2 linked regions of the Rhinolophus ferrumequinum genome follow. The protein of the gene in region 2 interacts with the protein of the main gene of each other region in a pairwise test. Links are inferred from orthologs where the notes say so. Each region holds a gene or a part of one and is shown on either strand. Other genes may lie near its edges. The genes, in order: HAAO and GAD1.

Evidence for each region.
Region 1: the proteins of GAD1 (region 2) and HAAO interact in a two-hybrid assay, tested with the Homo sapiens proteins (4 studies listed by BioGRID and IntAct). The two-hybrid records come from large-scale screens. The link is inferred for Rhinolophus ferrumequinum from reciprocal best matches to the Homo sapiens genes GAD1 and HAAO.

What each region holds. Positions count from the first base shown.
Region 1 is NC_046296.1:42,032,784-42,048,430, reverse strand, and holds the start of HAAO (3-hydroxyanthranilate 3,4-dioxygenase), read right to left. Parts: upstream 7,874-15,647; 5' UTR 7,801-7,873; coding exon 7,721-7,800; intron 4,925-7,720; coding exon 4,846-4,924; intron 828-4,845; coding exon 744-827; intron 412-743; coding exon 305-411; intron 1-304. UniProt on the Homo sapiens protein: Catalyzes the oxidative ring opening of 3-hydroxyanthranilate to 2-amino-3-carboxymuconate semialdehyde, which spontaneously cyclizes to quinolinate.
Region 2 is NC_046291.1:53,439,918-53,455,750, forward strand, and holds the start of GAD1 (glutamate decarboxylase 1), read right to left. Parts: upstream 6,653-15,833; 5' UTR 6,171-6,652; intron 6,014-6,170; exon of another isoform or gene 5,813-6,013; intron 4,726-5,812; 5' UTR 4,663-4,725; coding exon 4,581-4,662; intron 1,619-4,580; exon of another isoform or gene 1,501-1,618; intron 1,255-1,500; coding exon 1,192-1,254; intron 1-1,191.

The sequences.
Region 1 (15,647 bases), on a different chromosome or scaffold from region 2:
ATAAACTCTGGAGACACAGGCTGCGAGAAGCACAGGTTCTGGTCCCAGCCAGAAGGTCCTCAGGCTGAGGGGGCTCCCAGGGGATCCCAGGGGGTCACATCCAGCACACCACCATCAAATCCACCCACCACCTACCCTAACCCCTCTTCCATTCGCCAGCAAATATTGGATCTCCATTATCTCCAACTCACTCCGTGGCAGGCAGTGCTTTCTTGGATAGATCCTAGTGTCTATCTAGGATCCTTTCCTCTGCTGATTGCCACCCCCCGTCTCTGCCCCAGATCCCCAGACAAGGTCCATTTACCTGAGTCCATCTAGCTCGGTTTTCAGCCGCCTCCGCTCAATCACCAACCCCACAGTGTTGGCAAACCTCTGTGGAGAGTGGGGGACCCCAGCAGGCAGGAGGAATATCTATAGTTGTGGGGACAAGGTGCCAACAAGGCTGCAATCCCCCACGGAGACCTCAGGGCGTGCAGCATCCTGTCCTTCTCAGCTGACCCACAGGGTCCAGCTCAGCCCAGCTCTCTGCCCGGCCTCCCCTGACTAGAGAGAATGTCAGTCTGTGATGAGGATAGGGCAGCCCAGAGGAGAAAGTGCCAGAGAATGGGGCCAGAGCTGAGAGGGTGGGCAGGAGGGCAGGAAAAGGCAGGGGGATAAGACCTCCACCAAAGCCAGGATGCGTGGCAGGATGGCTTCCTGTTTCGGTGGCCCTTTGCTTCCCGACCCCGGGGGCCCAGCCTCACCTCTCCCTGCCGAATGACCACATCCCGGTGTTTCCCTCGCTCCAGGACTTGGAGAACCATGTCGCCCTCCAGCTGATAAAACACCTGTGGGACAGGACAGCAGACAGGCTCGGATCCTCCCTCTTCCAGGTTCTTGAGTTCTGACTGGGAAACCTGAGAAAGGTGCTGAAGGCCTGGGCTTTTAGGAGCAGCAATGTCACTCCTGCCCTGAGGCCCCACCCTCCCCTGCCACATGCCACAGACGGGAGTGCTGGGAACACACAAGGATCACATCTTGACACGCAAGTGATGACCAGAGAAGCCAGGACACGACAGCTGGTATCTGGCTTGGGGGCAGGAGGCTGGCTGAGCTGCTCACTGGAGAACTCAGTGACCCTTCAGCAGGTAAGGAGAACCAGCCATGGACTGTGTCCCAGGGGCTGTGTAAGCACTTTCCTATACATGATCCGAAATCTTACCAACCACGTCCAAAGATGTTATTAGTCCTATAATACAGAAAAGAAAACTGAGGCTCAGAGAGTAAAGCAACCCGCTCAAGGTCACAGAGTTAGTTCTGGAGCCCCTGTGTGGACCCAAGTCTGAATGTAGCTCTGGAGCCTGTGCTGGTTCCTCTGGCAACGGTGATGCTGTGCCCGTTCAAGTCCCTCTGGAGGTTGGCCATGTAAACTAGGGACTCAGTGATGCCGGGAGCTATGGGGGATGGGAGCACTCTCCTCCTGCTGCCTCCCTGGGGTGGGGTGGGGTGGGGTGGGAGGGGGCACCTACCGTGTTTTCCCTCTTCTGTCCTAAGTCCCTAATTAATGTGTTTGCTGAGATCACCCAGTGGAGCTGGGAAGAGAAGGAGGCAGGCACAGTTTTTCACCACCAGTCACACATTACACTAATGTTAAAACCACAGCCAAATAGTTGAAGGGGTGTTAATAATAATATTATTATCATGTAAGGAGTTAGAGGTGATAGAGGTTCTTGTCACAGCATCTACTAAGAGAAATCAAGCCAAGCTTAGGGAAACTAGAGCAATGTGGTCTGCGTGAGGGACAAGTTGACACAACTCTTCTGAAGGGCAATTTGGCCACAGGCAGGAAGAACTTTCACAGCTCACACCCCTGTGGGTTGGCCAGAGGGGTTTCTTGGGATACAGGACTTTCAGTGCTGAAACTGGAAAAGTCCAGGACAAACCAGGACAGTGGCCACCTTATGCTTTTGACCTACCACCTAATTCCGTGTCTAGGAGGTGGCTGCAGTGAATCAGACAGGCACCTGCCTCATGGTGCACATACATGGCTGTTTCGTCACCTGCATGGCAGTTAAAAGCCCAGATTCCAGCATTACCTGACCCTCAGCTCAGCTAGGTCACCATGTGCCCTTGGTCAATTCAGTTAGCTTTTCTGTGCCTCCCTTTCCTCATCTATAAAATGACAGTGCCTACTCAGAATGTCGCTGTGAAGTCTGCTGGGACACTACGCAATGTACCCGCCACAGGGTCAGCACTCGTAGGCCAGGAGCTATTAACATTAGTGATGGCAGGAATAGCAAAAATAATGCTAATAATAATGAGGGGAAATGTCATGATTTTATGACAGTCAAAATATGGAATATTATGCAGCCACTGATTTTTGAATAACTGTTAATAAGGTGGGAAAATGAAAAATGCTAAAGTTATCATGTTAACACAAGATTCAAAACTATACCCAGCAGGGTTCTACTTACATGGCAATAAGTGTGTAAACCTAGGGAGCGTTCACAGTGTTGGGATTCCCTGCGTGGTGGGATTATGAATGAGGGATGCATTTGTCTTTTTTTATATTTCGCATGTTTTCTACAAAAAAAACAATATTCACTTTTATTATTGGAAATAACCCATGCAAGATGTTTAAAACATACAAGAAAATACCTACCAGATTCTCTTAGGGAGCAATTCTGCAACCCCACCCCCACACCTCCAGTTGGGAGGAAGCCCCTGTGTATGTGTGGGGTGGGGGGCACTTCCCGCGGCACTGGGAGAGGAGGAAGGGCCCAGAAAGTTCTAGGGAGGGGGACATAGCCCTTGGGCCTTGCAAATATCAGGGAAAGCGGTCTGATGCTGTGGGCAGATTCAAACCTATCCGGAAGGTACAAAGTGTTAGCAGCTATCCAATAAAAATGGGAAGGAGGTGGAATTTTTCTCAGTCCTGCCTCTCTGCCTAGAGGCTTTCCTTGTGATGAGGGTCAGGCCTGGCCTGGAGCAGAGGTTCAGATCCTGAACAATAGAAAATCCAAACAGCCATTGGCAATCCAAAAGGAATTATGCTCGAAAGGGGCTGAGGGGGCTGAGAACCAATGTGTATTAAGCACCTACTGTGCGCCACCAGGCAGGGCCAGTGTCTCCATGTGCCACAAGGAAACAGGCTCAGAGAAGTGATGTGCTGTGACCTGTCCAAGGTCACATGGTTAGGAAGAGGCCGACTCCCAACCCAGGCTACCCCCCACCCACCCCCCACCCCACACCTATGCTCCCCAAGGGAAGGACTGGGGTAAGTGAGGTATGTGTGGTGTGTGCAGCTGGGGCACCTGAAGGGCTGATGCTGAGGCTTGAGCTCAGCAAGGAGGAAATTTTGGTTCAGTGACTCCCCTTCTCTCTCTCATCAGGGTGGATGGAGTCTGGGACAGAGAGGAGGCTGACCCCCTGCCTTGTGGCTTTCCAGGGCCTGTGGCTGGTATTCTCCTTCACCTCAGGGGTGGGTCCAGGCTGTTACAAACCCACCTCTAGCCAAATTCCTCCCCGCCACCCTCCAGAGTGGGGACACCTGCTCAGGCCAGCCCTCCTCATCTGTCAGCCTCCCTGCTCAGTCAGGGCTTGGCCTGGGTCCCTCAGTGGACACCCATCCACCAGAGCAGTTTGGGGAGGCCCCAGGGTGGGGCATGGGACAGAGGTGGTAGAGGGGCGAGAAGGGACGGAAGGAGGGAGGGAGACAGGAGAAGTGGGCCATGAGATCAGGGTTACAGAGTGAAAGACAAGATGGGGGGCTCGAAGCTGACTGAGGCAGGCAAGAGAGACACTGCATCCAGCCTCGTCTCCCCTATCCAGTCTCCTCTTTGCTATTTTGGATTTTCCTGTTGTTTTTCTTTCCCAGAGGAAAATGGCCTCCAGTGAGTTGGGTTGTGAGAAGGGGTGGCCAGGGGAGGTATGGGCCCTGGAAGTGTGAGAGGGGAGGGGTTGACCAGCTTTGCTCTGCAGCGCTGTCCCCGCTGGCCCGGGGCCTCACCCCTCTGCCCCTCACACATTAGGTGTTCAGGAAACATTTGTTGAGTGAGTGATTCTCTCGTGCTCCCTTCAGTCCCCCCGCGCCCCCAGCTGTGGCTGAGTCGCCAGCAGTGGGGGTGGAGGCTGGTGACCAAGTTGGACTCTGGACCTTGAACTCCAGTACCAGGCCCCCCCGGATGATAGGTAGGGGGCCCCATAATTGGTCCTTTGCCACCAGAGAATCTGATACCTGGAAACCCATCTGTGTCCCTTTGTAAGAGGGCCCATCTTTTTCTTTTAATTTTTCTTCTGTTTATTTACTTTGATGTAGGTAGAATAGAAACACAATCCAAAATTCAAAGTACAAAAGGATATTCAGTGCAAATTGCAGATTTCCCCTCCTACCTGCCTCCTCTCCAATAGCTTCTAGCAACTGATGTGTCTTGTGCCCTCTACATAAGGATGGGCCTCCCAGCCCCAACGCTGCCCAGAGAATTTGGCTCCCAAGACCAGAGTGGAGCATCCAGGTCCCTCCCAATGTTTGGGTCTCATTTTGGAGGCCAATCTTGCATATTCAGATTTGTGAGAGAGGACCAGGGCATCCCACCGGAGCATGGACAGCCCATGTCCAGGGGGTGAGACCAATAGCTAGAGCTTCTCACACCTGCAGAGGCTGAGATCTTTCTGAAGATGGAGCTGTCAAAGGCGTCACTGGGTGCTCACATCTCCCAGGCAACAATATTACCCTGTGATTTCAGTTGAGCGCCCTTTACCCATCAGCCATCTGACCACCCCGTCTCTGTCCACAGGCTCTGGTCCTACGGGAGCCATCCTCTGCTCCCAGGGCGGGGTAAGGGGAGGGGCAGTCTGCAGGCCTACCTCCTCACCCTCCTCGATGTGGTAATCCTTCCTGATGTTGGGGCCTCCGACGAACATGACTTTGAGTTGCTCCTGATGCCTGCAAAGCATGTGGGGGAAAAGATGCTGAAGCGGCTCATGGGAGAAGACAGGAGGGGTCTATGGGGGGCCCAGAGGGAGCCTGGGTACACCTGGGAGAGGTAACAGGGCTATTTCTGCATCGTTGTTCCTGTCAGTCTTCAACATTTGTCCCCTTCCAATCGCATCCCAGGGTGCCCACGTGCCTCTGAGTGCCTGTCTGTGACTGTACGTGCCTGTGTCTTTCTATGTCTGTGTCTTGGAGTGTGTGTGTCCCCCTCATCCTCTGACCCAGTAGGGGGAACAGTGTGGTGGTGGATCTGTCTCTTCATCAATCAGCATCCCTGGGCTGTGCTCAAGACCTCCACACACAGGAGCGCAAACTGAAGGCCCACTTCCTATAGGGGTAAAATGACCTTTATCTACCCCCCACGCCCCAGAGCTGTCTGACTATGAGACTGTCTGTTCCCCCCAAACTGCTGGGCTTAAAGCTCTGAGGCACTTGAGGAAGGAAGTGGAAGAGGAAGCTGGGGGCAGAGGCCCTGAGACGAGACGCAATGGGGGTCCTGGTGGTGTGGGAGTGGTCTTGGGGAGTGAGAGAGAAGGCTGGATCAAGACGGGGACCAGGTCATTCCAGGCCTCGAGAGTTCAGCCGAGGAGTTTGGTCTTGGCCTCAGGGGGTGCCAGGGAGCCTGGGATATATTTTTTTCTTTTTAGTCATCTTTACCGAGATACACTTTAGGTACATATGGAAAGTTCTTGAATGAACTCACTCAAGAGCTATTTCAGCCCGTCAGTCAGAGTACATAAGCCAGGTCATGTCCTTCCTCTGCTCACAACCCTCAGCAGATTCATATGTACCCCCTGCCCCAAATTCATATGTTGGAATCCTAACACCCGGTACCTCAGAATGTGACCTGATTTTGAAAGAGTGTCATTGCAGACATAGTCAGTTAAGCTACGATGAGGTCATACTGGAGTAGGATGAGCCCCTCATCCAATACGACTGGCGTCCTTATGAAAGGGGAGATTTAGAGACACACAAGAGAATGCCTTATGAAGATGAGGGCAGAGATCAGGACACAGAAGCCAAGGAATGCAAAGATCGCCTGTAAACCTCCCGGAGTGAGGAGAGGCCTGGAGCAGATTCTCCCTCACAACCCTCGCCAACATGGGAGTAAAACCACAGCCCTATTCTGTCCCGTGGCCACCAGGTCTTCCTGCAGCCTCCCACCCCCTGTTCGTTAATACTTATTGCCTGACTCCTCCCACCAGAAGGGACTTTTTTCAGTTTGTTTCCTGCTGTCTCTCCAGTGTCCGGAACAGTGCCTGGCATGTAGCAGGTGCTCAGTGAACATCTGCTGATTGACTAAAGAGAGGGCCTACGTTTTGAGATTACTAATATTGGAGCAGCGCTGGAGGGCTGCGTGGGGGGTGTGAGACAGGGGAGGCCCGAACTGCCCAGGCTGGATGTAAGAGCGCGGAACCAGAGCGGTGGCCCTGGGCCTGGAGAGGAGTAGGTAGATATGAGACACGGCTGAGGGAGAAACTGGAGGACTGAGAATGAGACTGTGGACAGGGTTGAAGTGAGGAAGGAGGTGAGGGTGACGGCAGTGGTGGGAGAGACGAAGCTTTGGGGAGAGGCTGGCTGTTAGCCCTGGCAGTGACCAAGAGTGTGGACTTTGGAGTCAAACTCTTGCATGGGCTTGAGTCTGGACCCTGTCCTGCCTGAGCTCTGTGACACTGGCCAAGTTACTTATTGTAAAAGTCCACCTCCTGGGGCTACTGTGAGAATTGAATGAGATGATGTAAAAGCACTGAGCACAGTCTCTGGATTGCAGTTGTGTGCTTTGAGGTTGGAGCTGTTCTGTGGACACAACAAACATGGGATTTGGGGCCTGGGGCTGGGGAGCACAGCAGGCCAAGCCACAGGAGCCCAGGGAAGGGGAGTGAGGTGAAGGGGCCAGAGGGGCGGGCCTGAGGGGTCTACTGGAGAAAGACTACCGTGTTCCCCTGAAAATAAGACCTAACCGAAAAATAAGCCGTAGCATGATTTTTCAGGGTGCTCGTAATATAAAATAAGCCTTAATGCGTCTTTTGGAGCAAAAATTAAGACCTGGTCTTATTTTCGGGGAAACACAGTAGGGCTTATTTTATATTATGAGCATTCTGAAAAATCATGCTAGGGCTTATTTTCCGGTTAGGTCTTATTTTCGGGGAAACATGGTAGCTGGACCACCATCAGCTCTGTGGGGTGCTATGGATAGAGATAGCTGGTGTGTGTGTGTGTGTGTGTGTGTGTGTGTGTGTGTGTGTGCCTGCCAGCAAAGATGAAAACTGGGAAGAGTAATAATCCAAATCCTCCTACAGGAGCTGACCAACCCTCTGACTTCATTGTCTGACTGTGGCTTCCTAGACAGGAGTGGGGGTGTGTGGTTGGGCTGTCCCCAGACCTGGGTCCTACTGCAATTCTGGGGCATGGAAAACCACCCTCCCCAAACTTCTGAGAGTTGCTGTGGGGTGGAGCTGTTTCTCAGCCCTGGGGGGCAGGGCTGCCACCTGCCATCTGCATCTCCCCTAGCCTCAGTTCACCCAGCCAACCTCAGAAGTCAGGCTCACAGTCTCCACAGCAGACTCGAAAGAGGAACAGATGAAGGTGGTGGAAACAGAACACCCGCCCTGAATACACTATGAGGACGACAGCCCCCCTTTCTGCACGCTTCTGGGTCAGGGAACTCGGACCTGGAGGTTGAGGGATGCAGATGGAGAAGAAGGTGAAGACAGAGGACAGGAGGAGGGGGGCAAGCCTGGGACTCACAGGAGCTTGTTGCAGACGGGGGGCAGGAATGAGGCTCGGTTCTCCTCCACCCAACTCCTCACTCTCACGGGACGTTCCATGGTTTCCCCAGAGCTGTGCTCTGAGCGGTGTCCTGGAGCCGTCGGAGGGGCGCGTCTCCGCCCAGACGCCTATTGGCCGCCTCGGTTAATCAGCATCCCAGGGGTCAAAGGGCGGGGCAACCCCGATGTCGGGGCTGGGGACTCGCGCGGTGGCCACTGTCAGCCTTTGGTCCCAGTGCCCCGGCACCGCCCCCCACCCCACCGCTTCCCCTCCAGGCACCAGCTCGGCCCTGCCACACATTTGGGGGCGCTCCGCACGCCCGCTCGGGGGTTGGGAGCCTGAGACAGGCGTAAGACATAGCATCGAGAACCTTCCTGGTCCTTTGTCCCCAGACTTTCCTCCTGGGCCTCTAAGAAATACTGTAGTGGAGAGCAGGCGGGTTTGGAAACCCGAGCACTTGAGTCCAGGGGTGCTGGCACTGGATCGAAGCCTCAATTTCCTCATCGGAAATCTGGGAATGTCGACGAAGTCATCTCAGGGTTGTGGAGCGGCCACCGCAGACCCGATTAAGGTTATCTTCCCTGTCACGAGGATGGAGTCAGGCCAGAACCCCCAGGTTTACTGAGTGCCGCTGGCTGCCCTGATTTTGGCTGGGTGACGGGTTCAGGAAGGACGCGAGGAGAGACCATGAGCGCAGTGCTGCGGGGTCCCCGGCGCACGACAGGGACCCGCCGGGCCGGGCTGGAGGGCGCGGTCCGCTCACCTGTAATAGTGGTGGTGGGGTGGGGGGTACAGACAGGGTCAAGCTGCCGGGCACTGTTCTAAGCTCCTTCGGTGTCTTAGGGCTCTCACGACAATTCTATGAGAAGTTTTACAGATGAAGCACCGAGCTCTCGGTGTGCGGGGGTGGGGAGGGCGGACAAACCTGTGCTCGTGTTATACCCCGTGTGAGAGGCTCTAACCCAGTTACCCCGGGGGCTCAGAAGAGGCCTGGTGTGTGGGTGTGAAGGAGACGAAACGGGCGGAGTGCGGGGGAGGGGGAAGGGCAATCGACACCGGCTCGCTTCTCTTTTTTCCGGACTCAGAATTCTTAGGAAAATTGCGCGTGTGTGTCGGTGGAGGGTGGGGTGGAGAGCTGGTAGGTGGGGGAGAACGGGTCGGGCACCAGAATCCTGACTACAGAGTTCAAGAAATTAGAAATGTCTCCAACTCCTGCTCACCCCCACCCCAGTATGTCTTGCCCCCTCCCTGCTGCCTGGGGTAGGCTGGTGTTCTCAGCACCCCCAGACACGGGGACGCCCCCATGCAAATCACAACCCAGACTGATAGGAAATAAGATTCCCGCCCGCCTTTGCTGGGGCGGACCCTCCTGTTTCCTCTCCACTCCGAGTTCTTTTTCCCCTTTCTCCCTTCTTTTTTTCTTTTTAATTATTCATTTAGAACTTTTCAACTGAGCATTTCTTTCTAGAATATTCTTTGGCATCAAAATAACTCAAACTATATTTTTTGTCTTTCTCATTATGAGTAATCGGTGGAAATCTAAGCAGCGACACGTGAAACACCCAGGATCTGTGATGTGCTAGGTGTGGATGTTTGTTAAACCGATGGATGGGTGGGTTGGTGGATAAAGGCATGCGTGAACTCACAGTAAAAGGCAAGAAAAAAAAATGAGTTCAGCTCAACAGATGTTCTGTTGCATAGTACAAAGGAAAGAACGATAGTTACTCTGTATTTTAATATATCTGGTCAAATAACATGAATAGTTGAGGTCACAAGTGAATGTTTGGGGTCTGAATTATCCAGATGAATCCTAGCCACAGGCTAATTAGTCTGCTGTACAGTCACCGTCAAATCTGCCCTCTAGTTTGTGCTGCGTAAATAAATCACCATGTCTATTCAACTGGCAAGCCTCCTGGCCTGAGTGTTGGGCACCATTTGACTGCCTTCTGGGAATATTCTTCTGTCTAATCTTCCAGTTCACTGTTTTTCTATTTAGTTGATGTAGTCTATGGTTCAGCTCATCTACTGAGTTTTAAATTTCAATGGTTTCATATTTTTATTTACAAAGTCTTTAATTGGTTCCTTCCTACAACTTCTTTTTATGGATGTGATACACTCCCTTATTTCTCCAAGGAAACTGTTTTAAACTGTAAACTCTCTATCAGTGAAGATACTATGAGCTGCTGTAACGGGGGGGGAACCCATCCCAAATTCAGTGGTTTAACACAATGGAAGTTCACTTCTCATTCCTGTGAAGTGCAATGGGGAGGCAGCACTTCCCCCACACACTTAGGGACCTGATTTGACAGAAGTTGACACAGGATCTTGTCTCCTTCATCGTGTAACTTCCAATATCACCCTGGGCATTGAAATCCAGCCGGCAGAAAGAGGAAAAGGGAGAGTGGAGGTACTTATAGGCCAGATCTGGCCAGAAGTAGTGTACACATTTCTGTGCCCCAGTCCACTGGCGGAAACTGAGACTGAGTCAACGCTCTCACCTAACCTCAGGGGAGTCTGGGAAAGGTTCTGGCTCATCTCTTTTGATGATATTGCTTTTTCTCAAATCAAAATTTGAGGGATCCTTGGGCAAGGTCATCTTTATGGTGGACGTTCTTTGTTAGGCTGTCTCTGCAGAGCCCACTGAGGTGAAGAAGCACAAGTTGTACTCCGAGCTATTTTCAGAGTGGGTGTAGGCAAGACCTGCCACTAAGTAGGGTATCTCAGCAGCTGGTCTCCTGGGCTTGGGCACTCCCAGTTTCTCCTGGGTGATCCTCGCCATCCCAGGTACTGCCTTGTCTTTCTGCTCTAAACTCCCACATTCATTGCTCCCTCCCACCTGGAACAGACATCCCATCACAGTTTCCTGGGCTAAGACAGGGATGCATGGGGGCCATGGACCACCTGCTCCTGCTTCGGTGCCCCAACTAAGTACCCAAGCAGTCCTTCCTGGATCTCCTCTCACATCTTCATCACCCCCTGGGTCTGAAGCACCCCTGGGTCTGATGGCTGCTCCCAGTCCCCTTGGGAAGACTCTCTTCTTGGATCCTGTATGCACTGGGGCTGAGATTTCCTTCTTCAATCTAATTTTTGCCTTCTTTTAGTCATTCCTTGAAGGTTCAGCTCCAGGTCTATTGAGATGTCCTCTTCCTGTGCTTTAGTGTGTTTACGTATTTATTTATTTTCTATTTATATCTTTCATTTTCTGGATTTGGTGTTTAACCTTTCAAAAAAAAAACCAAAAACCCACCAGACTGTTTCCCAAAGTGGCTGCATCATTTTCTATTTCCACCAGCCATGTGTGATGGTTCTGATTTCTCCACATTGTCACCATGGTTTGCTCTTGTCGGTCTTTTTTGGTCCCAGCACTCTTATACTCTCAATCCCATGCTTACTTCTTTGGGAACTCAGTGGAAACTATTGAGAAATTCTTGACACTTGGACCTGCTGCTACTCACCGCTGCTTCTCTTAGCCAGTTCTCTCTTCAAGTAATCATTGAAGAAAAATTTCTCCCTCGGATCAGAGTATGGTGTGAGGTCTCAGGAGCCTAACTATGACAATAATAGCAGTGACACGGTCTCTGGTTTCCATTACTGAATGATTACTACATGGCAGACTCTGTGCTAATCCCCATACATTCTCTCATTTAATCTCCACATACAGATGAGAAAACTGAAACCCAAGCTCAGAGTATGAACTAGCGCCCCCCAAAGGTCCACAGCTGGTAAGTAGAGGTATCAATATGAAGAACCTGTGCCTAACTGGAATCGAGACCTGTGCTTTTTTCTACTGTGACATAATGTTTCTTGTTAAAGAGTTCTGCCCCGATTGACTCCAGGGACTGTAGTGTTTGGCGGTGTTGGGGGATTAGGGATTTGATTCTCAAGTTAGTAAAACAAAAGTTCAATATAGTTAAAATCAAATCACAAAATTCTTTATATCTAAGTACCCAAGCAGTTTATGTAAAGTACAGTCTGCAATAATTCTTAGACATGAAAGCTTAGGAACCACTGAGCTAAAACCTCCAAAGGAAGTAATAAAGGGAAAATCTATATGGCAGATGCTTGGACATTTGGTCTGGTCTCCTTATAAGACAACGCTCACATTTCTGGGTGACTAGAGGATGGGTAGATTATTTCAAAACATTCCTCTTTGCCTGCAGGGTGGCTGCATTCTGTATGATATTAAGCTCTTTGTGCCAGTAATTAAGTTCCTGCCTTTCAGCCTGAAACTCACTTTCTATGCTCTGCATTGTGATGCAAGGTCTGGGATTCTGCAAACTCCATGTATGATGTACCAGCTGGTCCATCAGGCCCCATAGGAGGAAGAAGGAACTTGTTCCTTCTCGATTGCGTCCTGTTTGTCCCCTGTCTGCCTATGGTTCTTGGGCTTATCATCTTGGATCCTTCCCTTCGTGGTTTCTAAATCCAATTTGCAGTTTTCCCAGTTCTCGCAGAATCAGCTTTAAAGTGATACCAGAAGCTGGCGTGCCCTCTCAGCGACTGGGTTTCAATTTCACAGTCTCCCTATTACTAAAACTTCCAAGTTTTAGTAATTCAATTTCTTCTTAGGTTCCCTCAGCCATAGGGGTTGTAGCAGCTTCTTACAGTTGCTAGTTCTGTGATCCTGCAGAATTCTTCTTCTTTTTTTCTTTTTTGACTTTTCAGTTACCTAGTTAATAACTTTAAACCTAGTTAACAGTTCTCTGTGTTACATTCTTTTTGTTAAATAATGGATGTGGTTTCTGTCTCCTGACTAATATACTTTCATAAGCTTAATTCTGTATGTTACATGATTTGTTTATGGTTGTGATTTGTAACTCAGGGAGGGTTAGATTCTAAGATGGGCACATCAGATAATAAAATCAGTTGGCCCTCCAATATACTGCCTCTCTAATGTGATCAAAAGTGGCTGTTGGTCCTGGGATGGAGCCTGCAACCTCAGCCAAGACCCTACTGGACGGACAGGGCAGGGAAGGACAGCTGAGTGCTATGGTCACTGTCAGCTTTTCAGGGCTCTCTGCAAATAGAACAGGAAGCTCTGTCCCCCTGTCACCTCACAGGTGGAAGGACCTTGGGGAGAGACACTCAGGCCAGCTCTCTTACGAGCTTTCAGTTTAGCTGATGTATTAGCTGCATTTCCATTTTCTCTGGCTTCAGGGCAGTGTGGGCTCTCCCTCCTTTGCCTCCCTCCTTCTTCCCATGGAGATATTCTATAGCTTCATGTTCTTCTTTCTTCTTTTTGCCAAGGACCACTGAATGTTTCCTTCCTTCAAATTGCACTGTGTTAGACAGTCCCCACTGCCCCTCCCCTCCACTCCATTATTCTTCCTGGCATGATCCCACATGCCTTGGATAGAAGTGGACATATGTGGGCTTTTATGAGTTCAGGACACTGGATGGCCGCTGAGCTTGGCATTTCTTGTAGCCCAGGTGTCATGGCGTAATTCATACCTGCTACCTACAGATGAGGAAACTAAGACATATCAGCCACTCCTACAACTTAATAAAAACATGATCAAAACCTCCAAAGGTAAAACAAACTGAAAAAAAAAAACACCCAAAAAACAAAACGATGGGCTAAAGATTTGAACAAATATTTCACAAAGATATACAGATAGCCAATAAGTACATCAAAAAATGCTCAACACCGTTAGTCATCAGGAATATGTTGCCACGCAGCAACCTACCCGTCTGTCCCCTCGTACCTACTCCTAAAGAAAGGTGAGTCTGTGAGACAGATCCTTTCATGGACTTCGCTTCACCTTTGTGCTTACACCTTATGTCTCCTTGTTTGGCCCCAAAGGATGGCTGGTTAGTCAATGACGGGTAAGAGTCCTCAAGGGAGGAACAACCTAAGACAGTCACAGTCACATAGGGGCCATCAGGAGAACTCATGGGGTTGATAGAGGTGGGCACAGACCCCCACCTTCCCCCGGCTAAGGAGAGCTTCTGCCTCTGTGGCTACATTCCTTCCCACATCCTGCTTGGGAAGAGATTCAATGATGTGATAATACCAACTCTCCATCTATTCATATGCATAAAGGTTTTGTCCCTTGGGGAGGTACATACATCCTGAGACTTACAGTTCTGCTGTCTGCAGGCAAGGGTGATTGGTTTGAATCGGTTTCCTAGTATAATGTGGGAAATTCACGGATCTTGAGATTAACAAGCTTAACTTCCTCATTTGTTAATCAATAAAAGCTATGTGTTGGCCCGATTCAGGGCTCAGTCCTTTGAGACTGGAGTCCCTTGGCTCCGCTTGCACTCTATTCTTGGCTACAGTCTTTCTTAACCCTGCGCTGCCCTTCTCGCTCCCCACAACTCTTGTTGTGCAGGACACAACGGGATATACAAACAAAATCTACAATGAGATACTGTTACAGACTCGGTAGAATGGCTAAAATTAAAAAGACTGACAGCACCAAGTGCTGACAAAGATATAGAGCAATTGGAACATCCAGCATTGCTGGTGGGAGCATAAAATGGCACAACTACTTTGGAAATAAAGGGTCTGGCAGTTTCTTATAAAACTAAACATAAAACTTCATCAAAATAAAACATTTCTGTGCATCAAGGAACACAAGAGAGTGAAAAGGCAACCCACAAAATGGGAGAAAATATTTGCAAATTGTGTATCTAATAAAGGATTAATATTAAGAATATATAAAGAACTTCTAAAATGCAATGACAAGAAAACCAAACAACCGATTTAAAAATGGGCAAAATATTTGAATAGACATTTCTCCAAAGAAGTTACACCAACGGCCAAGAAGCACATGAAAAGATGATGGACATCACTAATCGCTGGAGAAATACAAATCAGAACCACAGTGCGATACTTCTTCACACCCGTTAGGATGACTATTCCAAAGGGAAAACCAACCAAACAAACAAACCCAAACAAACATAAAATAAGTATTGGGGAGGATGTGGAGAAATTGGAACACTTGTGCATAACTAGTGGAAATGTAAAATGGTGCAGCTGCTATGAAAAACAGTATGGTGTTTCCTCAAAAAATTAAACAGAATTACCATATGATCCAGCAATCCCACTCCTGCGTATGTATTCAAAAGAAGTGAAAGCAGAAACTTGAACAGAGATTTGTGCACCCATGTTCATAGCAGCATTATTCACAATAGTCAAAAGATGGAAGCACATTACGTGTCCATTAACTGATGAATGGATAGACAAAATGTGGTATGTACACACAATGGAATATTATTCAGCCTTAAAAAGGAAGGACATTTTGACCCATGCTACAACATGGATAAACCTTGAAAACATGATGCTAACTGAAATAAGCCAGACACAAAAGGGTGGATATTGTCTGAGTCCACTTATATGAAGTACCTATGAGACAGAAAGTAGAATAGTGGGTACCAGGGGCTGAGGGGAGAAGGAAGAGGGAGTTATTGTTTATTGGGTACAGATTTTCCGTTTGGGATGATGAAAAAGTTCTAGCGACGGATAGTGGTGATGGTTGCATAACAACGTAAATGTACTTAATGTCACTGCATTGTACACTTGAAAATGGTTAAAATGGCAAATTTTATGTTATGTATATTTTACTAAAATAAAAAGTGCTTTAAAACTATACCTAAGTCTACATTATGACCCTGAGTTTACCCCAAAGAAATGAAAACAAAAAGACTTGTAAAAGAATGCTGTTAGCAGCTTTATTTATAATAGCTTCAAACAGGAAATAACCCAAGATGGCCATTAATAGGAAAAAGGCTAAACCAGCTACGGTGTATATGTGTAAAGGGATATTATCAAAGGCCCTCAGTAGTTGTTGGCTAAACAGAGATATAAACAAACATCATTTTACTCCAGTTCCTTGTCTTTCTTCAGCCCTACAGGGTGAGATTTCCTGCTTACCTGAAAATTTTGACCTAAGGACAGCCC
Region 2 (15,833 bases):
ACAGGAAAGCCGGGAAGCTGGGAAGATCAGGCCCAGAGCACACCCCCTGGCTGATGGCTCGGGGGCGCGTTCCTGGGCTGTGGCGGGCGGGTTTGCCTGGTGTCCGCTCTGCTGCTATCTCCAGCGCACAGCAGCTGACGGATGGCTCTTTAATAAGACCCTCGTTAATCTTCCCCCGCCTCTCCACCGCCTGCCGGGGGACATCAGTATTTTCTGGCCCGATAAGGCTAGAGATTTTAGACGGTGACTTGTAGCAAGGAAAGCAAATCCTCATTGTTCAGCCGGAGCCACTCGGCTGTGTCCCTTCGAACAAATCTCCTTTTTTCCTTAAAAAAAAAAAAATTACATTCCCTGGGCGTTTTCATTTCAGACCTTCACGTCTCCGGAGAGCTGTTCTCCTCTCCAGCTCCCAGATCTATTTCGCTTCCTCTGGCAAATCGTGTCCAACTCCCCCTTTCCCTCTTGCGGCCCCCCGCCCCCGCCTGCTCCCTTTCCCTCACCTCCTTTCCTTCAAAGGCGAGCTCCGCAAACCCTCCGGCCTGTGCTGCCCGCATCTCCCTCAGGTAGGCCATCGGGGGTGCAGGCTATTCCTTTCTCTTGGCCTTCGAGGCCACAAAGAACGAAATCTAAATCCGTCCTTCGAGGCCACAAAGAACAAAATCTAAATCCGTTATGGCATCTCGGGGCAAAAAATCTCAAGCCAGAGAGGCCACTTTCAACGCGCGATGGTAGAGAGGGAAGGGGGACAATATGTCAGCCACCGTCTTAGGCAGATAATGAGCCAGGAAAGCCAGACTAGTTCACCTTTTCTACAAAACCTTCTAGACACCCGCAGAGCGTAAGGATTGGAACCGCCCCGCGCCGGACAAGAATAGCCCCGCTGCCACACCCGGGTGGGCCCGCTGTGCTCGAGCTCTCGTGCCCAGACACCCCAGAGGGAGCCCCACGGTCTCAGGTAGTCCCGGACCGAAGCCTTGGAGATGGTCCCTTGGGGCTAGGTCGGGGGAGGGCAGAAGAGGGTCCAGGCCTGTAGAGGAGGGTGTCTCTACCAGGCATCAGGGCTGCAGGTACATTAGGAAAATCATCCCCAAGAGCCGGGATCTCCTTCCACGTGCGTCTCACTTTCCCAAACCCTCCAAGCCCGCTTGCCACGCGCCACCTTGCCGGGCCCCAGCCGGCCCTTTCGCTTACCGCAGATCTTGAGCCCCAGTTTTCTGGTGCATCCATGAGCCACACCGCACCAGGTGTCATACGCTAGAAAGCAAGAGAGGTGCGATCAGTGAGGCTCAGAGCCTGAGGGACAGGGTTGAGGGCAAAGGTTTTCTGGGGAGGGTGGGGCAGGTCTTCGCCTGTACTCCTCATTAAATTCTCTTTCCTGAAAGGAGCAAGGAGCCAGATCTGTGGGCTGACGAGCAGACTCGTGCCCTCCTAGTCCCCATTCACACACCCCTCCTACTCCCACTTTCAGGTACAGAACGGTATCTCTGAGAGGCGACGCACCAGAGCCTCGCCGGAACTCCAAGCAACCCACGCGAGGGAGCCGGGAGGAGGCAGCGTCCGAGTGAGGCAGGCTAACCCAAGTGCAAAGGGTCACGCTCCGCCGCTGGAGTTGCCCAATACCCACCCGCCAGGCCCTGCCCCTTGGTCTCTGCCCCGCAAACTCGAAGGGCAACCACAGCAGCCCGGAAAGGGAACACAGAGGCATCTGGGACCAACACGTCTCATAATTTCTTGGCGGGTCTCCAGCCGAGTGGCAGCTTAAAATAAACTGGCATGAAATGGGGTCGCGGAAGAGTTCAGGAATTAATTGGGTGAAAAATAGTATTTGACTAGATGATCGGGCTCGCATGGCTGCTCTTCAGTTGGACCGGGGAGTCGGGAAGACAATAGTGTGAGTCCCACTCCTCCTCCCTGGCCCCCTCTTTCCAACCTGCCCCTCATTAACCCTTCCCTCGCTCGACATCTCGGGTCTGGAGCAGGCGAAAGCGAAGGGAATCAGGCACCTTTCCCCTGGCCCTGCCGTAGTTTCAAACTCCTCAGGGTCTATCCTGCCCTTGGGGTTCACCTTCCAGCAAGGAGCCTGAGGGGTGCCCGCAGAGCCCGCTTGTGAGCTGCTGTGGCGGGCCGAGCGTGAAATTCCCTGGGGATCCTTCAAAGCAAAGCTCCTCCAACCACTCCCATCCCCCATCCAACCCTGACCGGTGCCTTCAGCCCTGCATGAGTGTTGGCTGCGATAAGGAGAGTGACATCCATTAAAACGAGGCACAACAGAACCCCAGCGGGGAGAAGAAATAGCGCGACTCAGTGAGACGGCGGTCACAGATGGAGTTCCTGCAACAGACAGGAAATCGGTGCGAAAGCAAAACCCTAATAATAATACCGAGCTGGTAAAGAGCTATTTCCACCCGATAAAGAGCTTCCACTTTAAACACCCATCTCAGCTAATTTTCATAACAACCTTATGAAACAAGAATGCTAACCTAAGACTCATTTTACAAATAAGAACCTTGAAGCTCAGAGAGGCTAAGCAAGTTTTCCAAGGTCACTCAGATAGGGCATTGAAATTCAGACTGATTGCTCTGCCTTTCAGAGCTGGGGATTACAGTGAAAGAAAGGGAAAGAGAGATGGCAAAAGGTACAGAGAAAGCCCTTTTGGTGTAGTGAGTGGAAGGGGAGGAGGGACAGCAAGAAGGAGGGGTCCTGGGCGCAAGTGGCGGAATATGGTTGTGTAGATTGGGCAAGGCCACCTCCTAGGAGACCTTGCAGGGGCACAGAAGTGAGGCCAGCTGGGAGAGCGAGGACGAATCTGCAAAACAGAGGGAGAGAGTGGACAGAGAGCCCGACATTAGCGTGCAGTCTGGGAGGTTGGGGACCATCGACAGCGTTCTCTGGACAAGTGGCTGCATGCTCTTTCCCAGCTGGGTCCTCGACTATCTTCCCTCTGCCTCGGAGGCTTCCGGTCGCGCCAGGTCATGTGCAAACTCAGGTCAAAGCCTCTACTGGGTCTCGGACCTGGGGCTTGGCACATGCGCTCCACCTCTGGCTGCAACGGGAAAGAAGAAGGAGCGTGGCTTGGCAGTGGGGGTGCAGGACTCAAGGATGGGTGAACACAACGGCCTCCCAGCCCCACCAGACAGCAAAAGAGGGGCGGGAAATGTTGAGAGGACTGGAGAAGGAATCCATCAAGACCGGAGCAACAGACAAAGGCGAGCAGGCCTCTCGTTCCTCCCGGCCTGTTCCGACCAGCTCTGCAGCCCGTGCCCGGTTCACGTGCCACCAGGACTGGCGGCTCTCCCGAGCCCCTCTTTGTTGTGTTGGGTAATTGTAGCTCGCCTGGGGGGCGGGGAGAGGGAGCTGCAAATGGAATTGGAATGCAGCCTAAGGACTTAAGACAAGGCCTCCAGCCTGGGAGCCAGTGGCAGCGCCAACGGGTTGGGGGGAGAAGGGGTCTTACCCCCTAACACTCCCCATCTTCGTTGATGGAAACAATCAACGTTTTCTCAAGCTTATAGAAAGTGCCATAAAAGCAAAGCAATAAGCCCTCCTAAACACACTGCCATCCCTAAGACCCACTTATATAGAAAATTGGGGGCGGTTATTAGCTGGTGCTGATAGATTTGGGGGGAGGCACATTTCAAGCCAAATTGGAAAAAGAAAAACAATTCTCTCTTCCCCATGCCTCCACAGAACAGTAGGAAATCAATCTGAATTAAAGAGATTGTGAAAAGGGTTGAGAAGCGCACTGAACCAGAGGTGGGGAAGCATAAATCTCCTTCCCCCCCCCTTATCTAGTTCCCCTTTTCTTCCTCCCTCTTTGGGACATGTCAATTGCTGACAGGTCTCCTGCCCGGGAGAAAAGAGAGGGGTGCTCTCTCCTGCCCTGGCAAACCTTCTGGCCTCCTCCTGGTTCCCCACCTCTCATCACTCAGGATGCTGCCCACTCTTTTTTCTTTTTTGTCTCTGAGATGTAATTAATTGTCTAAAATGTCGAGGCTCCATCTCAAACCATTTTATGCACCTTCTCGCCTCTGACTTCTCCCTCACTCGTCACTAGCTCGACGCAAATTTGGAGCAATTAGGGACCCCGAGTTTTCTAAAAGCTGCAATTAACGTCGAAATTTCCGCTGATTATAGACTTCAAGCACAGCGCAGGGGGAAAGAAGGAGGGGGGTCTAATCTCGTCCCAACGAAAGCAGGAGACAGAAGACTCAATTCCCGCTGGGACTCCGGGCTCCCCACACCATCCCCTACCCTGACCCTCGACGTCCCACCAAGCAAAGAGTCCACACACAAGACAACAAAAACAACGCGCTCCCCGCCGGAGCCTCCCTCGCACCTAAGCCCTCAAGGATCGCTGCCACTTTGACCCTTCACGGTTCCCACTCTCCAGCGCCCCCAAATCGCCTAGCATCCCTGTCAGTAGAACGACCTCTGGCCAGGATCGGGTCAGGGCCCCATTTCTTTCCAGCCTCCATCATCTCTGCGCTCCTCCTTCCCTTTCCGCCAGCGTAGCCTCCACACGTCCCAGCGCCCCCACCTTCCTCGCAGTCGATTTGATGGAAAACTGGGACAGGACCTACTTGTGGGGCGCAGGTTGGTAGTATTGGGATCCGCTCCCGCGTTCGAAGAGGATGCGGACGAAGAAGGGGTCGAAGATGCCATGAGCTCGGTGGTCCCGGGGCCTCTGCAGTCTGGGGTCCTCGGCCCGTCAGGCGCAGGAACAGGCTGTAAAGACAAGCGATAGCTGTGTGGGGAGGACTTCCGGGGTCCGGCGTGCAAAAGGCTACTGAGTGCTCGGAGTGCGGGCGCTCCTCCTGAAGTCCAGGCTCGGGAGAGAGAGGTGGGAGGAAGGGCAGCTAGCCGGCTGGGTCGGGGTGCGCGAGGGAGGGGGGAGGAGGAGACGTGCGCGCGAGCTCAGAGACTCCCGAGCCGGTAACGTAGTCCCCGGCGGCTCTCCAGTTTGGCTGAGCAGCGGGGCGACCTGGAGCGCAGCGCTGAGTCTAGAGGAGCCCTAGGCCAGTGCAGGACGCGAGGGTGCGGGGGACTGGGCTAGGAGAAGGGAGGCTCAGTGAGCGATTTTCCAGCCTAGCCGCGACAAGCCCCATTGGGTTCTCAGCAGCCGGCCGGCGGGCATACGGGGGGAGGGCGCACGGGGCGGGCACGTCTGGTTTGGTGTCTGGTTCCCGTTGTTGTGTCTGGCTAATTCCCTGGGAAGGAGGCTAACTGCTCTGGAGACCGAGGACTTTGGTGAGACAAGGTGAGAGGAAAAGGTGAGGGTCCAGATCTTTAAATTCTCCTTCGGACTTGGCAGGGAAAGAACTACAGTCACTTTGCAAGCCTGGCAGCCAGAAAGCAGCGGGTCGCATCCTCGCTCGTGTCTCTCTTATCCCACCCCACTATGAGCCGTCTCGAAGCCTGGGATGAAGCTTGGTCTAGGTTTCTGTGTTTCCCCTCCACCCAACTCTCTGAGGTCCCCGGATTTCTCGCAGCACAGACTCGGAGTGGGTGAGGGAGGCAAGAACCCGGAACGTCACCGGGGAAACGAACTTGCGCCCAGGGCGCGGGAGACAGCAGATAAGGATTGGTGCTCAGCGCCGCTGCTCAGCGCTCGGCGCGGGCGCGATGGCGTCCGAAGGCCCCGGGACAGAGAGCGTGCGGTCGAATCTGGGAAGGTCTCAGATCCAGCGGAGTAGCGCCCGCGGCCCACCGCCTCCTCACCCTCCCTGAGACCCCACACCTAGCTCCGCGCGCACACTCGCACAGCGACGCAGGCAGCGGGTAGACCGCAGCTTCTCAGGAAGTAACAGGTTACCGCTCTGAGTCGCGCCTTCAGCTGCTGCTGCCCCAGAGCCGTCAGGTGAGACGGACGCTCGCAGCCAGGAAGCGCAGGAGAAAATCGCTTTCGATCCACTTCTGCGCGAGCCTCGGCCTCTCTGCATCCCCGAGGCGTGAATCGCTCTAGTGGGGACAGGATGAGTGCGAGGGCCGGGGTCTCTGAGCCGCGCACCAGCGGAGAGCCAGGACTGAGGAGGGCGGCACTCACTCGGCTGCGGAGGGTAGATGGCGGACGCCGGAGATGGGGGTTGGCGGAGAAACCGCGGGTGGAGAAGACCCAGCTGAACCGCTAAGGCTGGGCTCTGGAAAGTCCGGGCGGCCATGCGCTTACCCACCTGGGCTCGGCCACAGTAAGCCGAGCGCTCCTGCCGCTCCTCTGCGCAGCGCTCAGCGATCCGCTTGGCTCGGCGGGCCCTGCCACAGGCTTTATCTGCCCGGCGTCACCTCCAGCTGCCGCCTCGCTCCCACTATCACCGTCCCACACGCGAGCGCCCGGAGGAGAAGAGAGCGACCGGGAGAGGCGGCTGCTTGGCTTCGGGGGAGGCGGGGGCGGAGTGGGGAGGCGGGACCCGTTCGGCGAAGGAATCACGAGGCCGCAGCTCCCGGGGGCAGCTTGTCGGCGTTGTGGCGGGGCTACTTTGCAGGTGCCTGACCGCCTCCGGAGCTTTATACGGCGATTATAAATCCAGATCACGGTTTTGCGCCCGGAGGGGGTGGGGGGAGGGCCCTATGAGTAATCCAGAACGTACTCAACACGTTCTGTTTTTTGAAATAGGCAATGTCGGGTAAGAGGAGGGAAAAGATAATTCCTATGAAGAATTCTGCTTCCCTGAGCGCTTCTTCCTCGCTCTCCTCCCCCCGTCCCCATATATTGGAGAAGACAAGAACAGTGGTATTGCCTCAATTTCTTTCCCCGCCGTTCCTCCAGATCTGCGACCCCGCCACGCTTCCTCGAGCGACAGCTGTGTCCTCGCTGGCTTTCTACTGAGCCAGGATTGTTGTAAAAGCAAAGGAAGCAGGAGGGCGGGGAATGACACTTAGACCCTTGAAGGAATCTCCATCTTCTTTGTACTTATTTCCTCATCCAGCTGGAGGCCTCCCCAAAGCACTTCACTTGAGCACAGCTACCCAGTGCCACGGCAGAGAAAAGGGTCCAGTTTCCCACCCACTTTGTGCTCCCTCCTACTGTGCACCTGGTGTAAATGAATCGAGGCTTTGGCTAGAAATAAATGATAACGGTTTATTCAAGGGTCTTAGGGTTTGCACACTGGAAACAAAACTAGGTAATACCTAGAGTGTTCCCATGAAGAAAGATAAGCTGAGGGTTCTTATAGTACACATTCTTGAGAAGAATCAGTTCTGCATCCTTAGCCTCTGGATTGGTCCCAGATGGTAATCTTCTCAGATGACCGGTGGTCTGGATAATGGATGTCAGGTGATCTGGATAATGAAAATCAGATGGTGGGGATACCTGAACGTTCTTTTCTTAGTCCTTCAGTGGGTAACCAGAGGGTTATCTGCAGGTTTTGATGTACATCCAGGCAGTGACGCAAGATTGGAAAGTTAAAAAGTTTAAGTTCCCAAGCTAGTTAAAACAAGAATAGGATTGTTTCTTCATGCCTCAACCTACTTGATTTTAGTAATTTAGCAGCTTGACTATAGTGATTCCCTTTTATTTCTTCATTCTATTCCTCGCTGGCTTTAGTCCCCTTGGTGATGGGAAAAGAAGTAATCCTGATTGATCATATCTGAAGGTAATAACATGCACTAGCGCCGCTCTACACCCACGGGAAACCTGACCACAGAGTTGACCAGTGTGTGTGTGTGCGCGCGCGCGCGCGTGTACGGACGGGCCCTTGCTTTTTAAGGATTCTCCTTTCGCAGTATTTAAGCATACTTAATGAATTGCCGCGTTCAGAAAGTCCTTCCTCACAAAAAAGCGTTCACGGAAAAATTTCCACCAGAGGGCGCCAGGCGCCCAGAGACCGAGAAGCATTGTACTAGCCTGGTCTTTCCTGATGCGCCAGAGCCTACACCTGGAGGGGCGGGCGGGGCTGCTCCTTTCCTGCCCCTTCAGTCCATCCCTCAGCCACCCTCCCTGCTAAGTTATGCTCTCCCCTTTTCTTTACCTCAACTTCGTTTACTTTAAGGCAAAACAAAGTTGGTCTTTGTGTCTGGATGACACCCTGTAACCAGCGATTGCTTTTCCCGTTTACACAGTGATTTTTTTTTTTTTTCCCTGTTGCGATGCAGCAGGCAAGGGTTATTTATGGGCATGTCTGCGGCCTTGCTGGTCCACCCGAAGCTCTCCCCATCTCCTTCAATGTCTTATCGCCTTTCACCACAGTGGTAATGCTGAAAATCTTACAAATCACTGAAAATTCCATAAGGGATATTGAAGATTCTTCCTGAGAAGATATAGTCCGATCAGTAAGAGGGATCTCGCTGTCAGGTTTGAAATAACCGCGTTGCCCTTGATACTAAAGAAAATACTGTCGCCCTCTCTCCACCTTACAATAAAAGCTCAGGAACTTTTTAAGGACACAAAAGCATCCTCAACTGAGGTAACAGCAGCTCCAGGCCAGGAGCTTGGGTCTGAGCACGGTGGGTGTGCCCACTCCGCACAGGAAATGTCCCTTGGAACCTTGCACCTCCCAGCTTCTCCACCACGCTGGAAACGCGAGGTTTATCATAAGGCTCGGCTCGGAATTCCACCTCGTCCCCTCCTCTGTCCTCTCTAAAAGAGATGTTGCACCAATCAGGGAACCCGTTGCCAGTGTTAAATCATTCAAGACGAGGGGTAAGGAGACAGGAGGGAGGAGGCAACAAATCCCGGCGCCCCTCGGGGTCCGCTGTGCGGGGAAGACGCCCTCTCACCCTCTGTCTCCCCAACCTTCTCCCAAGACTCGAGATTTTTCAAAGGAAGATTCGTTTACCTTCACCTGTGGCATCAAATTGAGATATTTCCAATGACTCCCTCTTTGACCCCGGTGTCCATAACCACTCACCCCTAACGTTGTAGCCAAGAAAATTGTCTCATTGGAAAAAGAAATTACCTGTAAGACTAGGTATCCCAAATTAAAGCTGAGTCTGGTCCAGGAGCGAGGACATTCCTCCCTTTCTCCTTTATGGAGAGGGAGGGAAGGGATGAAGGCTAGTCCTTAATTTAAAAAAATGTTTAATTAAATATCAATAATTAATTAAACGGACATTTATTTATCACCTACTGTGTGCCAGACACTGTTCTCATGGAGCTTACACTGTCCAAGCAACTTACATTATCCCTGCACTCATGGAGCTGACATTCCAGCTAGGCGGGGAGAGTAACAGACTTGGGGGCTTAATTGCTTTGATTTATTCTCCAATTATCTCTCATTCCAACCAGAATCGTGGGCTCAGCGGAGATAGTAAGGAACTGGAATTGCACCCAGTTTCAGCACGAGTTCGGAGGCAGGGCCCGGCTCTTTCAGCACCAAGGACAGCCCCCACAGTTAGGTTCCCTGAAACCTCTCTGGTCCACGCTTCCGTCCCCAGCTTTTGGCCAACCCACCCAGCTCAACGCCGCCCGCCTCCCACCCGCCCCCACCCCGACCCCTGGCAGTAACTGCTGTATTTGTTTTCCCTTGTTGGTGGGAGTGCGGTGGGGTGCAGTATTTCGCTTCTCTCTTCCCCGATTAGAAATCAAAAGGAGGGTGGTTGTGGTTGTCTTTTGGCTCTTCAGAACACTTGGGGATCTGTATTTTTTTGTTTATATTTGTCATTCTTTTTTTTCATCTTTTATTAGTATCGGGAAAATACTTTGGACAATGGGGGTGGAAAAGATGTCCTCTCTAGGGACTCGAACCGGCGATGAAGGATGGCCCGGAAGGGAGTGGTATCCGCCCAGCTGTTTCGTTTTCTTTTGATCTAAGGTTTAGCGCTTTGAAGAAGCGGGAACGCGACGCCCAGAGGCAGTAGGGGTGGGCGAGTGCGACCCCTCCAGACTCTCTCCGGGGATTGCGAGCCTGAAGCCCTGGCTACTCGATCCTGTCCGCAAGAACAACCTTCCTTTAGGTCAACGTTGGCTGGAACTTGGGAACACGACCCTCCGCCCACAATGCCCTTTTCCTGGGAGGTTTAAAGATATTCCAGCTGGATTTGGAGCCCAACCTTTCGGCAAAGGAAAAAAGGGAGTAGGTGGGGGGTGAGTAAGACATGGAAGGGGCGCCCCACGGGCTTCGGGGGAGATTTTTATGCGTAAGATATGGTCCACGTCAAGGTGAGTAAACAAGAAACGTCAATCTTTTTTTTTTTTTTTGACGTATTTAGTATTGTTAGCCTCCAGGAAAGGTAATTTAGAGTCATGATATTGGTTCATTTCAGCTGGCAATTTAAGGTCTATTTTAAGTATCTTATTTATGACCAAAGAAAAGGGGGGAAAATGGCAGTGATCACCATTTAAACGTCTGTCTCCCGAGACCAGGGAGGGCTGTGGGAAGCCTTGTTAACCTCACACTCGGTTTTTCTTAGGCTGGAGCTACGGTCTATTCGGTGTGTTTGTGTACTCTAAAGCTAGCTCCCCAGATCAATCCGGACTTTGGGGACCACGGCTAAATCGACACCGGTACCCCAACAGACCACACTACACTCACTCCTGGGAGATAGGAAAGGGTTAAAAGGGTGGCGAGGGAGGCAGAATTCCAACCAGAACGTTGGAGAGGACTCCGGAAATTGCAACCTTTTCTCCTAAAAAAGAGAGCTGAATTGCTCAGATAATAGTCAAATAGTCCCTTCTCCCTTGACATTCTGAACATGAAAACATTCCAATATTAAAGAAATTAATCAAGGAGGACAGAGTGATTTGTATTTGGGCAAATGTACAAATCTTTAGACGCCCAATTCTTGCCATTCCAAATATGAAGACAAAGGGACCACTAGGTGGCGATAGATTATAATTTCTGAGGAGAAACAACGGGCCCAGGGGAGCAATTCAAGGAAAACTGCAGGCCCTTTCCAGTTCACCCATCCCCTGCCATATTTCACAAAGCAGGGCCTTTTTTAATGCTGGGGCTGGAAGTGGCCTGAAACACTCAGTCTCTTTGTCGCTTTGGTGAAAGAGAAGGGGGTGCAGAGTATCCTTTTCCCACAGAGCTGCTCCTCCAAGGTAGCCTTGGGAAGGGAACTCTTTGATATTAGGCAAGGTGTTTCTCTGCAAAATTGGAGACCAAGGAAATAACAGCTCTGGATTGCAATTCTGACACAGAGCTTTTAGGACATATCTATGTTTTCAATTCTTCTCTCAACAAAAACTAAGGCAAAATCAGTCCTTTCCCAAAAAAGTGGGATGCAAGTGATTTCCCATGAGATGCTTTTAGTGAAAGAGTACGAAATGGAATGCTAGGTATAGTGATATTTTATCCATTTCTTTCAGTGTGAAAACTCGAACTATTTAAAACAGCGGGCATTTAGCCCTTGTTTCAGACTTAGATGTCTGGGACTGCTGTTTAAGGAGAAGGTTCTGACTTAGTTGTGGAGAATATGATAACAAACTTCTATTTCAGATCAGGTTTATTCTCTAATCCTGGCCAGTTACTTAGGGGAGAAAACTGGAAGGTTAACGTGAGGGGATTCATCACTGCTGCTCTAGCTCAGTCCCCTTCATATAAAGAACTTACATACAGGGGGTGCCAAAAAGAGGTATACAAGTGGACCACTTTAGTCAACACTCAAGCAGTTCGCCATAATCAGAAGTGTCTGGACGCTGATGGTAAGCACTTTGAGCACCTCTTGTAATTGCAGAAGTCAAACATGACTTGTATTCATCTTTCGTTATCGGTATATATTACAATTTTAATATTTTTTTTTCCTTTCTTAAAATGTGTATACCTTGTTTTGGTACCTCTGTATAAGAGCTCACTGGAATTTATTTACAAAGTTCTCATCTGTAAACCCACACCATGGGTTTTCCCAAAGCAGTTAGTCATCTGGAGCTCATTCTATCTTACTCTCAACTGCAAGGCTGAGGTCCTGTTTTCTTGGATGAGTCAGGAATCTTTTAGATCTGCACAACCTGAAACTTCAGGCAGTCCCTAAATATGAGGGTTAAATAACGAGTACCTTCTCACTGGGGCCTATAGGCACACTGTCTCTACTTCATAGCCAGGGACAAATCATGGACAAGTGTCAAAGACACTTGAACTGGTATAACTTTTTTCCCTCTTCCACAGATCAGGACTGTATACTCCACTCCCTCCAACCCCCACCCCTTGATATGGGGCTTGGCCATGTGACTTACTTTGGCCACGGGAATGGAACTTAACTGCAAACCCATGAGTTTTGGGGTGATGTGTTATGCATTTTTGTGGTAGTAGCTGACACCAGGCCAGGGAGAGCCAAGGTGAGACTTAGAGAAATACCTTGGCATAGGCAGCCCAGTTTGGCCTCCTGGTGGTGGTGGTGGTGGAGGGGAGTGGAGTACATTAGAGACCTCTTTCTCTGTGTGTCTCTCACTTCGGAAATACGACATGGAAATTAGGTGTTTATTGTATGAATTCTCATTTAACTATCACCTCTATTTTGCTGATGAAGAAACTAAAATCCAGAGAGGTTTCAGAGGACTTTCCAGACCACACACTGAGAAGTGAGCTGAAAGGGGACTTCCTTCAGCCCCAGTGCCCTGTACACTGCTCACTGAGGCCTCCTCCCCTTATTTGCCAAATAATAACCATTTGACCTTGGAAAAATCACTTAATCTCTCTGGACTCCCATAATGGGAGGGTAGGTTATCAGAGGAGACCAGGTAAGCCTTCATTTATCTGAAATAATTTAGTGATAGTATTTTGTGACTCTGCTCACTGGACCATCTTCTCATGTTGTGAATGCTATGGACTCCTTTTAAGGACCTCTTGAGTTCTTCGAGGCAGCTTGTTACAGGAGGAAAAGCAAAAACTGTCAAGTCAGTCAGATAATTCAAATCTTGATTCTACTGACCACTATCATTTATTCTCAATCTAAATTTTCTCATCAGTAAAATGGGGGCTAGTATCAACTTTGTGGGCTATCTTATTTGATGCCCATAAGACTCACGTTAGAAAGTTCAACTGTGCCTTGTTTATGGTGTTCAATAAATATTTATTCCTGTTCCCATTCCTCCTCCTTAGTTCACCAATGATTTTGATCCATTTAAATGTTTTCTCCTTGGACATATAAGCTAAGCCTAACATTTTATTTTGTTGCCCATTTGTTTCAGAAGAGCTTGATCATCCCCTGACATAGATTTGAGGCACTCCCCTTAGTGATTTAGGTTTTTTAACCCACCGAGAAGTTTTGATTGCTAGAAGAGAAAACTTTCTGATGGAATATTCAGACTCATCTGAGAAGGGGTGAAAGGGAGCCAGTTTTGTGACAAAGTCCTCATTCTGCCCCAGTGACACTGGACTTCTTGCTGTTTCTTGAACATTCTAGGCACGCTCCCACTGCAGCAACTTTGCGATTACTGTTCTTCTTCTTGGGGGTGGGGGGCGCTCTTTCCGTTAAGTATCTGTAAGCATTTGTTCCTCCTTGTTCTGGTTTTTGCTCAAATGTCCAAATGTTATTTTCTCAGTGAGACCTTGCTTTATCCTTCTATTTAAAATTTAGTTCTCCCCCTCTCATAGTACTCCCTAGCCCTTCCCTCTTTTCCTATAACACTTTTTACATCACTTGACATATTGTATACTTTACTAATTTATTGCTTTTCTTCCCCATTAAAATGTAAGCTTCATGAGGGCAGGGTGCTTTTGCTTTTTGTTTTTCAACCAATGTATTCTCAGTACAGAAGGGTTCCTAGAACACCATAACCACCCAGTGCATGTTTTGCTGGGTTTTATTTTTGCAGCTGAATAGATAATATATGCCTAACCTCTTCAGCTGGCCATCTGGAAGGCACCTAGCAACTGCAGAATGAGTGTGGGCAGTCATTTTGCATCAGTTTCTTTTCTACACCTGGAATCAGATAAGAAAAGAGAAGGAAGGAAGTCTCAAAGAGTCAGAGTCCCTCGGAGACCTCAATTAGCCTAATGGGAGCAGCCAGTTAGCAAGTTGTGAGACAACTTTCGTAACTATTCTTTTAATTCCATTTAGCACATGTGATTTTTAGTGTTTGTCCTCTTATTTTCTTTCATTGGTGGGTTGCAGGCTAAGAGAAGGTAGCTAGCTCTAGGACGATGATATTGTCTACTGATTTAAGTATTCTGTCTCGCCTTTGGTTGACTTCTTCTGATACTAAGGAAGAAGCTGAATTTGGTGCCTATTATGATGGGGAAGAGCTTTTCCTCCTAAGGCACTGTCCAGTGGTAGACAGGGAACTGAGACTTATCACCTTTACAGAATGATCATTTTCAAACAACGCTTCCTATGGAAAGACTTTGAGAATAACTTTTATTAAGAGATGAAGATACACTATCTCTCCTGCTTTACAACTATTTCCGTTGTGTACCCCTGAGATAAGACCCTCACGCGATTTACCGAAACCTTGATCTTTTGGTTTGAATTGACCAATCTGACCTTAGCCTGGGAACCCCAAAAGTATTTTACTTGTGGATCCTAATAAAGACATGTACCCCAGGTCCTGCTAGTCACTCTCTGCCTGCATCTTGAGGTCCCCAGGCATAAGGTGCACCTCCTCCAGGACCTGTGAGTCATAAACTTCTCTATTTCACTTTCTCTTGGGGCCTCTGTTGAACCATGGTTCACCCACCATCCGACACCCCAGGGTTCTACTTAACAAATGATAACTTGACAAAAATCACCGTCACAGGGAAGAGAAAACTGGAGAGGCTGCGATGTGAGACCAGTCAGATACCGCTGGTTTTATAGATGGACGAATGGGGCCATGAGCCAAGGAATGCAGGCAGGCTCCAGAAGCTGGAAAAGATAAGGAAACAGATTTTCTCCTAGAGCCTTCAGAAAGATTGCAGCCTTGCTGACCCTGTGATTTTGGCCGAATAAGACCCACTTTGTATTTCTGACCTCCAGAATGGTAAGATAATAAATTTGGATTGTTTTAAGCCACCACGTTTGTTGTAATTTGTTACAGCAGTCATTGAAAACTAAAATACTTTCCCTACTCAATTTTTGTAAGTTAACCACCAACATCTCGGGCAAATCTTTCTGGGTTCCTTTTTTTAGGGGGCAGCACCATCGCACATCCCGTTATCGAACTAGGAGTCATCCTTCACCTCTACCTCTCCCCCACATTTAATTCATCACCAATTCCTGTCAGTTCTTTCTGCCTCTACAATAACTCCTCCATTCCATTGCATCTCTCTGTTACTGCCTTTCTAGGCTACAATTTTGAACATCTAGAATTATTATGTAACAGTGGAGTTTTGTATTCCACTCTTAAGTCTGTTCTCTACGCTTTCAAATACGTGTATTATATATACATATACATTTTTAAAATTGAGATCCATCGGAAGAAATACATCTCATATCAAGATCTAGGATGGACACACACACACCCAAAGTTTCTCAACACCATAATTCCCATACTCTTTTGCAATGTGTGCTATTTTCTATTCTATGTAATTTAATTTAAAAACCCCAGCTGTTTGTGACTCACTATAATGATTTCATAACTGACCAATGGATCATGACCTATAGTTTGAGAAAACAGTTTTCTACCTGGCTACTAGAATGATCTTTCTAAAATACAATCATTATTTTCCTCAAAATCCTTCAATGGCCTCCCACTATTCTAAGGATAAAGTTAAAACTTTAATATGGCTTACATGATCCTTCATTGTCCAGTCCTTTTGTCTCTACTCTAACTGGCTCATTTTCATTTTGCAATCCAGTCTTACCTACGAACTTACTTTCTGGACTCAGAATGTATCTGACAACAGAACACTCTTCCCCACGTCCTCTTCGAGTAGCTAATTGCCACTCATTCTGCCTTCTCAGCTCAGGCTTCCCACCCTCTGAATGTTTTCTCTGGATTCCTGGTCTGGCGAGGAGCCCCTCCTCTGCTCCCTTAGCAC